Linked DNA regions of Callithrix jacchus. The protein of the gene in region 1 interacts with the protein of each later gene in a biochemical or structural test. Links are inferred from orthologs where the notes say so. Each region holds a gene or a part of one and is shown in the gene's direction. Other genes may lie near its edges. The genes, in order: UBE2D3, TRIM33 and RNF14.

Region 1 (3,655 bases):
CTCCATTTTTAGCTCTTCTTACTTACCAGGAGCTTGTCTTTGTCTTATTGAGATTGAGTTAAAAAGTAATATAAGTCTTTTGAGGATTGAGGTTTGTAATAGCATATTAAATACATTTATTTATCTAAACTCCTGAAACTGGATAACAGATGTTTTTGTTTCCTTGCAGTTCTTTTATCCATTTGTTCACTGCTATGTGATCCAAACCCAGATGACCCCCTAGTGCCAGAGATTGCACGGATCTATAAAACAGACAGAGATAAGTATGTTAAAAAGTTATTATTAAAATGGTTTTACTTAATGAGTTAGGCTTATACTCTGCTTGTGACAATGCCAAGACGACTTGATACTTAGTAAGATAATAGTTAAAATATGCAGAAAGCTAGCTATTGAAATGTGGTTATTTAAAACTTACTAGGCTTTAGCTAATGTGACAGTGAATGCCCCCCTCCAAAATGTTTTTTTGTTTTTCCTAGTGTGTTAAACAGTTTATCACTTTATTCTGAAATTTTGGAGAAGAAAGCAAATTTTTCTTAACCCCAAGCATGTTTTTCCAAAAAGTGTTAAGTGCTATTGTAAAAATTTGGTCTAAATTTTTCAAATATTTGAATTATGTTTATGTTCAGTTTAACCATTACAACTTTCATATGTTATAATTAATGCTAAGTATACTTGTTCAATTAGGTACAATAGGTTAGCAAGAGAGTGGACAGAGAAATACGCTATGTTGTAGGGTAAGAGGATCTGCACTCTATGGTGCGCTTATTCATGGTACTGCCAGCACTTGAGTGCTGCATGCATTAAGGCACTGTATTAACTAACAAAAGGTAACAGATGTGGCAGCCTTCTGAAAAGTGTACATTTAACTGCTTGATCTCTGTTTAACGTGAAAGTAAATACCTGGTAGCCATTACTGCTTGAAAGTATTGCATGGCAAAGCAGTTATATAGCACTAGTAAGAAATGGGAATTTATGTAGTATCTTTTTCTTTCAAACTACCATGGTGTTTAAGTTTTAGCTTGAGACTTTGTATCAATACTATATGGAATGTGGTGATTTACTTCAAATTTTGCCAGGAGATAGTAATGTAAGGGAAAAACACTTTTAAGCCTAAGCATCTAAACTAAATGTTCATTACTGACAAGCATGCATTAATGTCAGCTGTACTTTGCGGCTCCCTGTATGTTAGCTAGATAAAGCCTTTGTTTTAAAGTGCTGGCTTTGTGAGAGAGTATCCGTAGGAGATAACCATGATTGGTAGGGAGAACTTGTGTATGTTACAAGTATAGGGAAGTCGTTGGACCATATTTGGCTTTTGGTTTGAAATGAAGCTAGTTAATATTTGAACTGTAAATATAAAAGTTCTCCTGTGTCCTTTAATATGTATTCATTTCTTAAGGTTATCAGTATTTTGTTGGGGTAAGTAGTCTATGGCATTAGTATAATTCAAGGGGAAACTGATAGTATTTATCAATGTTAGTAGCCTTCCTGAGTAATAACCTTGTTTGTGTGTGAATTACCTGTTGATCTTTTTCAACAAAGATGTTCTGGTTGTACTCAATAGGTCTTGATGGGGCTTATTAGCCTCAGTTGCCACACTTATTAAAAGTAACATGTCATTCTGATGAACACAACCAGTCACACACCTCTTTTGAAAATGATTGCGGTTTATCTGCCCAATGTCATCTTCCCCTTCTGCCTCTGCCTAAGTCTCAAAGGCATTTTTTCTTGTAATATCCACGACCAAGTAATTTCCCAAACTCCAGGATTCAGATAAAATTGTTTTAGTAAAAGTCTGGTTCTGGCTTTGGAAATGTCTGTGGATAGATAGAATTTGTATACTACTTTAAACATTTTTTCATGTTAAAAATTAGAGTACTCGTTCAGTGGTAGTGGAGAGAAAGGGTCTTTTGACTTTTGTTAGCCTCCCAATTTGTAGTGCTGCTTTCTTAGGTTTATTAAAATACTGCTTTCAGAGCATCAGACTCTAATTTCCCACATTGCTTTGAGTACCAATACTATTTCTCCCATGTTGGCTTTTATTCTAATCATAGTCATTAGAGATGACTTCATAATAGGTCTGGAGATGAAAATCTTTCCCTTCCATTTAAAGTATTAGGAATTCTTTCACTTTATTTTAACTTTTAAAAATAACATCTTTATTTACAGGTACAACAGAATATCTCGGGAATGGACTCAGAAGTATGCCATGTGATGCTACCTTAAAGTCAGAATAACCTGCATTATAGCTGGAATAAACTTTAAATTACTGTTCCTTTTTTGATTTTCTTATCCGGCTGCTCCCCTATCAGACCTCATCTTTTTTAATTTTATTTTTTGTTTACCTCCCTCCATTCATTCACATGCTCATCTGAGAAGACTTAAGTTCTTCCAGCTTTGGACAATAACTGCTTTTAGAAACTGTAAAGTAGTTACAAGAGAACAGTTGCCCACGACTCAGAATTTTTTAAAAAATGGAGCATGTGTATTATGTGGCCAATATCTTCACTCTAACTTGGTTATGAGACTAAAACCATTCCTCACTGCTCTAACATGCTGAAGAAATCATCCTGAGGGGGAGGGAGATGGATGCTCAGTTGTCACATCAAAGGAAACAGCATTATTCTAGCAGCATCCATTCTTGTTTAAGCCTTCCACTGTTAGAGATTTGAGGTTACATGATATACTTTATGCTCATAACTGATGTGGCTGGAGAATTGGTATTGAATTTATAGCATCAGCAGAACAGAAAATGTGATGTATTTTATGCATGTCAATAAAGGAATGACCTGTTCTTGTTCTACAGAGAATGGAAATTGGAAGTCAAACACCCTTTGTATTCCAAAATAGGGTCTCAAACATTTTGTAATTTTCATTTAAATTGTTAGGAGGCTTGGAGCTATTAGTTAATCTGTCTTCCAGTACACTGTTTAATATAGCACTGAATAAATGATGCAAGTTGTCAATGGATGAGTGATCAACTAATAGCTCTGCTAGTAATTGATTTATTTTTCTTCAATAAAGTTGCATAAACCAATGAGTTAGCTGCCTGGATTAATCAGTATGGGAAACAATCTTTTGTAAATGCAAAGCTGTTTTTTGTATATACTGTTGGGATTTGCTTCATTGTTTGACATCAAATGATGATGTAAAGTTCAAAAGAGTGAATATTTTGCCATGTTCAGTTAAAGTGCACAGTCTGTTACAGGTTGACACATTGCTTGACCTGATTTATACAGAATTAATAAGCTATTTGGATAGTGTAGCTTTAATGTGCTGCACATGATACTGGCAGCCCTAGAGTTCATAGATGGACTTTTGGGACCCAGCAGTTTTGAAATGTGTTTATGGAGTTTAAGAAATTTATTTTCCAGGTGCAGCCCCTGTCTAACTGAAATTTCTCTTCACCTTGTACACTTGACAGCTGAAAAAAAAAACATAATATGGGAGTAATAATGGGTCAAAATTTACAAAATAAAGTACTGTTTCGGTGTGGGAGTTGTCATGAGGCTGTGTTGAAGTGACTTATCTATGTGGGATATTGAGTATCCATTGAAATGGATTTGTTCAGCCATTTACATTAATGAGCATTTAAATGCAACAGATATCATTTCAGGTGACTTAACATGAATGAATAAAAGTCAATGCTATTGGA
Region 2 (3,655 bases), on another chromosome or scaffold:
GAACTTCTGTCATATCAAAAGTTTCCTTAATTCTGCTTTTAGAACTCTGGAAGTTATCTTTTTCATTTGTTTTGGATATTTAAGAGAGATTTTAACTTCATTCTTATGCCACACCAGGAGGTGGCACTGGTGACACAAAATTTTTTTACCTATAGAGTTAAGATTACATAAGTTTATTTCTAAAGTTAGCTCCTTATGCTATAAATACTGTATTTGTAGATTAACCTAATAGGAAGAAACTATTTTTAACAGGCATGTGTTCGTAGAAAACAGACAGTAACTTAACATTAATTTCTATATGTGGAATATCCTTTTTAGCTAAGAGAACTAAGTTTTAGTTCCACTTTTGTTAGTGGCTTTTCCTCTGATTGATGATAGGCTAGCTAAATAATCATGGAGCTTATTCACTTATCCCATTTTTAAAGGAAGTATAGGTATTGTGTCTATTTGCATTAGAAACTTGGGGTTGATTTTTTTTCATATAGAATTCTTCAGTGAAGCTCTTGTTCTATTTCAGAATGTTACAAAAGAAAGACAGATGAAGTTACTACAGCAGCAGAATGACATCACAGGCCTTTCCCGGCAGGTGAAGCACGTTATGAACTTCACAAATTGGGCAATTGCAAGTGGCAGCAGCACAGCACTACTGTACAGCAAGCGACTGGTGAGACACATACTGCTTTTATTTTTCTTTAAAGGATTTTATTAAGATATTATTTATATGCAGTGAACTGCTCCTGTTTAAAGTACACATTTTAATTTGGGCAGATGTACCACCACCACATCAAAATACGGAAAACTTCCATCACCCCCCAAAGTTTCCTTGTTCCCCTAGGCAGCCACTAATCTGGTTTCTATCATTTTTTAGAATTTCATATAAGTGGAATTATCTAGTATGTACTTTTTAAAAGATACCTAGTATCTTAATGAAATTTATTACCTGAAATGGTAAAAATTCAAGCATGTACATTTGATTTGATTGCTAACTTAAATATTGACACTGCCTAATCTGAGGCTGACATTGTGAGAATATATGTGCTTTTTTTCTTAATGTCTTTATCTTATGTTTTCCCAATTGATATTTAATTTTGAGACTAATGTGGATATTTTTCCCTTTAAGATTACTTTTCAGTTGCGTCACATTTTGAAAGCGCGGTGTGATCCTGTCCCTGCTGCTAATGGAGCAATACGTTTCCATTGTGATCCCACCTTCTGGGCAAAGAATGTAGTCAATTTAGGTGAGAAATAATGGGTTTTATGAATATAACTTGGAACACCGAATTAGGAGAAGACATCTAAAGCGAATTTAGATAAAATTTTTAACTTTAAAATGTAAAACTACTTAGAAAGTCTGTTATTCATTGGAAACTCACTTTAGCTGTGGTTTTGTAAGGCTGTCATTACATCTTAAGAAAGTTGAGAGTCTACTCTGTATATTGTTTTTTAATGTGTACTGTTTTTAGACCCCGATCTTTTAAATTTATATTGACTGTTTTATATAGAAATCTTAGCAAATGGTTCATTGTCTGGAGAATTTCATAAATGTTTAAATGTTTAAGCCGTATTGTGCGTTAGCGGCGGACTTATGGGATGCTGATGTGTCCAATAGTTATGTCTTGAGGAATGTTTGAAAGATAACTGTAGCTCTTCACATGGAAGAGAAATGGATTTTGCTTTTATTACAGCATAGTAGAGAGCTAAAGACCATCGGTGAAAGTTACAGAGAGCTCAATTAAAACACATACACACAAGCTTCCTAGCAGTTACAGAGCTATCTGCAGATTGAGTAAACTCACTTTCAGAACAGTTAAGTCCTAAACAGTGGGAATTATAAAAGCAGAGGCTGGTTGGCCTCCTATTTACAAAAAAAAAAAAACCTAATCTTTTTATAAAAGAAAAAAATTATATTCAAATTTAGCTATAGCCTTAGTTCTGGCATCAGCCACCTGTTTTTGTGTGACATTGTAGCTAAGAATGGTTTTTACATTTTCAAGTGGTTGTAAAAACAAAAACCAAGGACTGTGAGACAGAGCTAATGTAGCCTGCCAAACATAAAATATTTACACTATGGCCCATTTACAGGGAAAGCATGTCCACCTGTCCCTTAAATCACATCTTCCTAAAATTTGGTTTCTATCCCTAGAAAGCAGTGGCTCTGTAAAAAGCAAGGAAAACCATCACTTCTAAGGATATAAATTGTTTAAAGCGTTCAGTATTTCCAGAGAAGATGATTTTGTGGCATTGTAATGCTCTGCCTTGCACATTTTGGCAATTCAAAGGCAGATGCAATCAGCATTAGCAATCTTGAGTATCCTTCAGTAAGTCTTGTCATGGGAGAATTGATTTAGATTGATTAGACAGGCCTCATCTGATACCTCTTATAATCTCTTAATTTTCTATACATCTGAGTAAAAAAGAGTAAGGACAGGAAATATATTTTTCTGAATAACCAAAAGTCATTTATTCAGCTTTGCAATGTATTAAGTTTCTGATCATCATTATCTTTAAATGGACTCCATTTCCTGCTGTACTGTTGGAGCTTTGAGGTGCTGATAGTTGTCAGAGAAGAGAGGAAAACATTGTGATTACTCAGCAAAATAGATGATTTAGTTGATTATATGCAAATTCTTCTCATGTTTTAAATTTTTCAGGTAATCTAGTAATAGAGAATAAACCAGCTCCTGGTTATACTCCTAATGTAGTAGTTGGGCAAGTTCCTCCAGGGACAAACCACATTAGTAAGACCCCTGGACAGATTAACTTAGCACAGCTTCGACTTCAGCACATGCAACAACAAGTGTATGCACAGAAACATCAGCAGTTGCAACAGATGAGGTTGCAGCAACCACCAGCACCTGTACCTACTACAACAACAACAACACAGCAGCATCCTAGACAAGCAGCCCCTCAGATGTTACAACAACAGGTAAGTATGCGTTGCTGCATTATTGATAGAAATTATAAAGCCCCCAGCACTATACTTTTTTCTATATTAGATAAGTTACACATTTCAAGGTTACTAGCAGGACTTTGAGCAGAGCTCAAACGTCAGTGTTTAAATATTTGCTCAGGTTATGATGGTGATGTAAGGGAGGTGTGAAGAAAGGAAGTAAGTAAATAACTTGTCTAGGGAAACAGTTAATTAACTAATACTCTGGAAGGATTAACTTCTCATCCTTTCACATCAGATCTTTTTTGTTTTCCACTTACAATTGTGTGGACCAAAGGACCAGATTGTTTCTGCCTAGGATCTGATGTGTTCCTTAGGCATTTGTTCAAATCATTCCTATCCCTGGGTATCTTTTGCTCTTTCCACTGCCTTCCCAATTAAAATATTACTCCAGGATGGGATAAGTTAATGTTGATACGCTTTAAACACACATACAGAGAAAAAGAGAGGGAGCGGGAAAGAGAGAGAAAAGGGAAATTGGGAGTGATACACAAACTAGTCATTACCAGTCCTCTGGGGATTAGCGATAAGAATTATTTATACTTCTTACTTTATACCCTTTTATCTTGACTCAGTTATTTTTATAATTGAAAGATAAATTTATTTTAAAATTATTACATAAATTGCAATTTCTACTTTTTGTAGCCTCCTCGATTGATCAGTGTGCAAACAATGCAAAGAGGCAACATGAACTGTGGAGCTTTT
Region 3 (3,655 bases), on another chromosome or scaffold:
GTTGCAATATTTTTTTAAGGTGGCGGTTACCAAGTTAAAATTAGGAAATAGAAAGTCCTTTGAGGAGGGTTTTTATTCCCTCTTACTAAAGCATTAAGTCTTTCTTGAGCATTGCTCAACAGTAATGGACACTCAAGTATTGACCAACTGATCCTTTCTAATCTTTGTTTTTGGTTCAGGCAATTCAAATGAGTGTCTCCAGAATAGTGGCTTTGAATACACCATTTGCTTTCTGCCGCCACTTGTGCTGAACTTTGAACTGCCACCAGATTATCCATCCTCTTCCCCACCTTCATTCACACTTAGTGGCAAATGGCTGTCACCAACTCAGGTTAGACTTGAAACTTAATTTTTCCTATCCATTTTTAGAAACTTAAAAATTGTCTTTAATTGAAGACTACCTTAATGATCTTGAATTCAGTGCATGAAAAACAAATGGCTTTGGTTTTGTAATTTTTTTCCCTTGCCTTGATGGATCCTGATGCTAAGAAATTAAAAATGCTTGGTGTTTTAAAAAGGAATGGCAGTAATTAAAGCAATCATGAATTGTAATAGGAGTAATTTTTAATCAAGTATATTTCTTTTCTTGTCTTGCTGTTTTCCTATTTAATCTGTGTTATAATGTAGACTATGAGATCTTCCTCATTTTTCTTAAATATTGATACTACTTTTTTTCTTAGGTTCTTATCCATTCCTTAAATGAAAGATTTCACTTTAATTAGGACTAAAAATTGAGCTAATGTAGTTATAATAAGAAAATTTTCTGAGTAAATACAATAACTGCTTTGCTTTGTAAAAATCTATATTAATAACAAGTAACAGTCAACTGGTATCACGTAGACATGAATGTATACAAGTAGAAATGTGTACAGTTCCTGTAGATATCTCATTAAGGCTTGAGGCCTTATGTAAAGAACCTCATTTCCTCTGGGTTATATATACTTTTCTAGTAACAGCCTCAACTCTTGATTGAGACATAAATATGACTTGAAGCTAAATATAGATAAAGTGTTCTGGGATAGATAATGAATCAATAGCAGCTGCTTTTCTAGAAGTCATAATGAAGATTGATAGACTGATGTGTATTAAGACGAAAGCTCAGCCTGTGCAACATGGTGAAACCCAGTTTCTACAAAAAAAAAATACAAAAATCAGCCAGGTGTGCATCCCTGTACTCCCAGCTACTCAGGAGGCTGAGGTGGGAGGAACACTTGAGCCTGGGTGGCAGAGGTTGCAGTGAGCCGAGATTGAGCCACTGCACTCCAGGCTAGGTGACAGAGAGAGACCCTGTCTCAAAACAACAAAGCAAAACAAAACAAAAAGCTGTCAGATTTGCTGACCTCAAGGGCTCATTAGTTTTTCTCTTTGGATCATACAGTTTTCATTCCCCCATCTACCAAGCTAATCTTTCAGGTTAGAGTACTTTTGTAAATTTGAGCTTATGGTTTAAACCTTAAAAAAGATAATACCATTAGAATAAAAAGGAATATTACTTTACATTCTAATATCTGTGCCAGAGGCAGCAGATGCAAGACAGTTGATCTGTTCAGGAATATCAAGACTGTTTAGCATTTAGGTCACTGATAATTGGCCGAATTATTTAGATATTCATAGTCCCATTTCACCAGTGAGCTTTTCATACTTTACATCCGTGCATGTGTGTGCACCCGCACACACACATGCACAAAACAGGGACAGATTAACTGGATGTGTGGTTGCAGTTTCAGATTGCAGCTAACCAGCATCCACTTAATGCTGGATTTGGGTGCGGGGGTGTGTGCTGGGGAAGAGAGTTGTTTTATGTGTTACAGCTAAAATTTTTACAGTAGAATTCTTTGTCAAATAATTGTTTATGCATATAATTGACATTTTAATTGGTCTCTTATATTCCTTCTTGGTTCAATTCTTGTTAGTTGATCTACCCTGATTCCTTGTCATTATGACTCTCACCTGTTAATAGTGAAATTGACAACGTTATAGGTGCCATTCCCCGAATTGGGGTGGGTAGACAGAGGGAAGTGGTTTTAGTTTTCTAGTATTTTCCCCTATTCCTCCCCCAGTATACTCACATAGTCTCTTGCTCCTTTTCCCTTAATTCCCCTCTCTCTTCAATTTACATGCATCCCAGGTGCATCTGTCTCCTCCCCCCTCTCACCTCTCCCCTTCTCTCCCCTTCTCTCCCCTTCTCTCCCCCTCTCTCCCCCTCTCTCCCCCTCTCTCCCCCTTTCTCCCCCTCTCTCCCCCTCTCTCCCCCTCTCTCCTCCTCTCCCCCCACTCTCTCCTCCTCTCCCCCCCTCTCTCCTCCTCTCCCCCCCTCTCTCCTCCTCTCCCCCCTTCTCTCCTCACTCTCCCCTCTCTCTGATGGAGTCTTGCTCTGTCACTCAGGCTTGAGTGCAGTGGTGCAATCTCAGCTTACTGCAGTCTCCACCTAACAGGTTCAACCGATACTCCTTCCTCACCTCCCGAGTAGCTGGGATTACAGGCGCCTGCCACCACGCCTGGCTAATTTTTTGTATTTTTTAGTATAAACGGGGTTTCACCATGTTGGCCAGCTGGGTCTCAAACCCCTGACCTCAGTTGATTCACCCACCTCAGCCTCCTAGAGTGCTGGGATTATAGGCATGAGCCACCTCGCACAGCCCCAGCTGCCTCTCTTGAGAAGGGACTGGAGAAGAAAAGAAGTTGGAGAATGGCTTCTTCATGGGACTTGGTAGCTCACACAGCACTCAGAGCCTCCCTTTTAGTATTTATCACATTTTACAGATTTTTTAGCAGATTTCTCAAAAGCATGGTTGATTTATAAGCATATTTATGCAATGTGAAAAACCATTAGTTGTTCAATCTTAACTGATTAATAAGTAAGGTAGTACCTGTGCAGGGTTTAGTCAGTGGCACTATGCGGAGTGTAAGAAACAGGAAATCTTGTCCCTTTTTATTTGTCATTTAAATTTACAATATTTGCCATCTGGAAGGCCTACTTTTGGATGTTTACCTAAAAAAGAAAAGCTGCTTATAATTCCTGTGCTCTATTACAAATATTTTATATTTCTAATGGAGAATCCTCTTATATTTGCCTTTCAAATTGAACAGACCACTTTTAAAGAGAAAAACTCCAAATAATTTAACTTCAGTTGCTTATCTTAGGAAGTGTAAGCTTTCTCTATGGCTGCTAAATCATGCTGAGGGCTTCTGATTATGACCAGGGTCAATGTCAGTCAGCTTTTCTCCATTAACTGGGATCTGATATAAGCCCAGATTGCTTAGTTAAAAGCAGCTTGTAAATCTAAATCTAAACAAGGACTCTGAGGCTGAATTCTGTTAGTGATTGTTTCAGATGAGTTGACTTCTTGATAGAACTGAAAATTAATTTTAAAACTTGGATAGTATTTTTAAATGATTCTTTTTCTAACCATTATTCTAGGATACTGACAGGGCTAGGACTCCTAATGGAAGAAAAATAGTTTATTTTTAGAACTAGATCTGTTTCTCCTACATGAAACTTACGGCAATACTAAAAGATTAAAGAACAGAAAAAAGTCCTCCATTTCAGTGACTAAAATGTGCAGCTATTTCTCTGTCTTATGGAGTCTTCCTGTTTCTCTTGTTCTCATGGTTCTTCTTGCTCCTGACTTTGTGTTCTACTCCAGCTCATGTT

The links.
Region 2: the proteins of UBE2D3 (region 1) and TRIM33 form a complex in vitro, tested with the Homo sapiens proteins (2 studies listed by BioGRID). The link is inferred for Callithrix jacchus from reciprocal best matches to the Homo sapiens genes UBE2D3 and TRIM33.
Region 3: the proteins of UBE2D3 (region 1) and RNF14 form a complex in vitro, tested with the Homo sapiens proteins (2 studies listed by BioGRID, with this or other methods). The link is inferred for Callithrix jacchus from reciprocal best matches to the Homo sapiens genes UBE2D3 and RNF14.

What each region holds. Positions count from the first base shown.
Region 1 is NC_133504.1:94,547,543-94,551,197, forward strand, and holds part of UBE2D3 (ubiquitin-conjugating enzyme E2 D3), read left to right. Parts: intron 1-169; coding exon 170-263; intron 264-684; coding exon 685-733; 3' UTR 734-734; intron 735-2,169; coding exon of another isoform or gene 2,170-2,215; 3' UTR 2,216-3,655. UniProt on the Homo sapiens protein: Accepts ubiquitin from the E1 complex and catalyzes its covalent attachment to other proteins. In vitro catalyzes 'Lys-11'-, as well as 'Lys-48'-linked polyubiquitination.
Region 2 is NC_133508.1:152,390,161-152,393,815, reverse strand, and holds part of TRIM33 (E3 ubiquitin-protein ligase TRIM33), read left to right. Parts: intron 1-517; coding exon 518-664; intron 665-1,120; coding exon 1,121-1,238; intron 1,239-2,651; coding exon 2,652-2,926; intron 2,927-3,595; coding exon 3,596-3,655. UniProt on the Homo sapiens protein: Acts as an E3 ubiquitin-protein ligase. Promotes SMAD4 ubiquitination, nuclear exclusion and degradation via the ubiquitin proteasome pathway. According to PubMed:16751102, does not promote a decrease in the level of endogenous SMAD4.
Region 3 is NC_133503.1:40,423,030-40,426,684, forward strand, and holds part of RNF14 (E3 ubiquitin-protein ligase RNF14), read left to right. Parts: intron 1-179; coding exon 180-331; intron 332-3,655. UniProt on the Homo sapiens protein: E3 ubiquitin-protein ligase that plays a key role in the RNF14-RNF25 translation quality control pathway, a pathway that takes place when a ribosome has stalled during translation, and which promotes ubiquitination and degradation of translation factors on stalled ribosomes.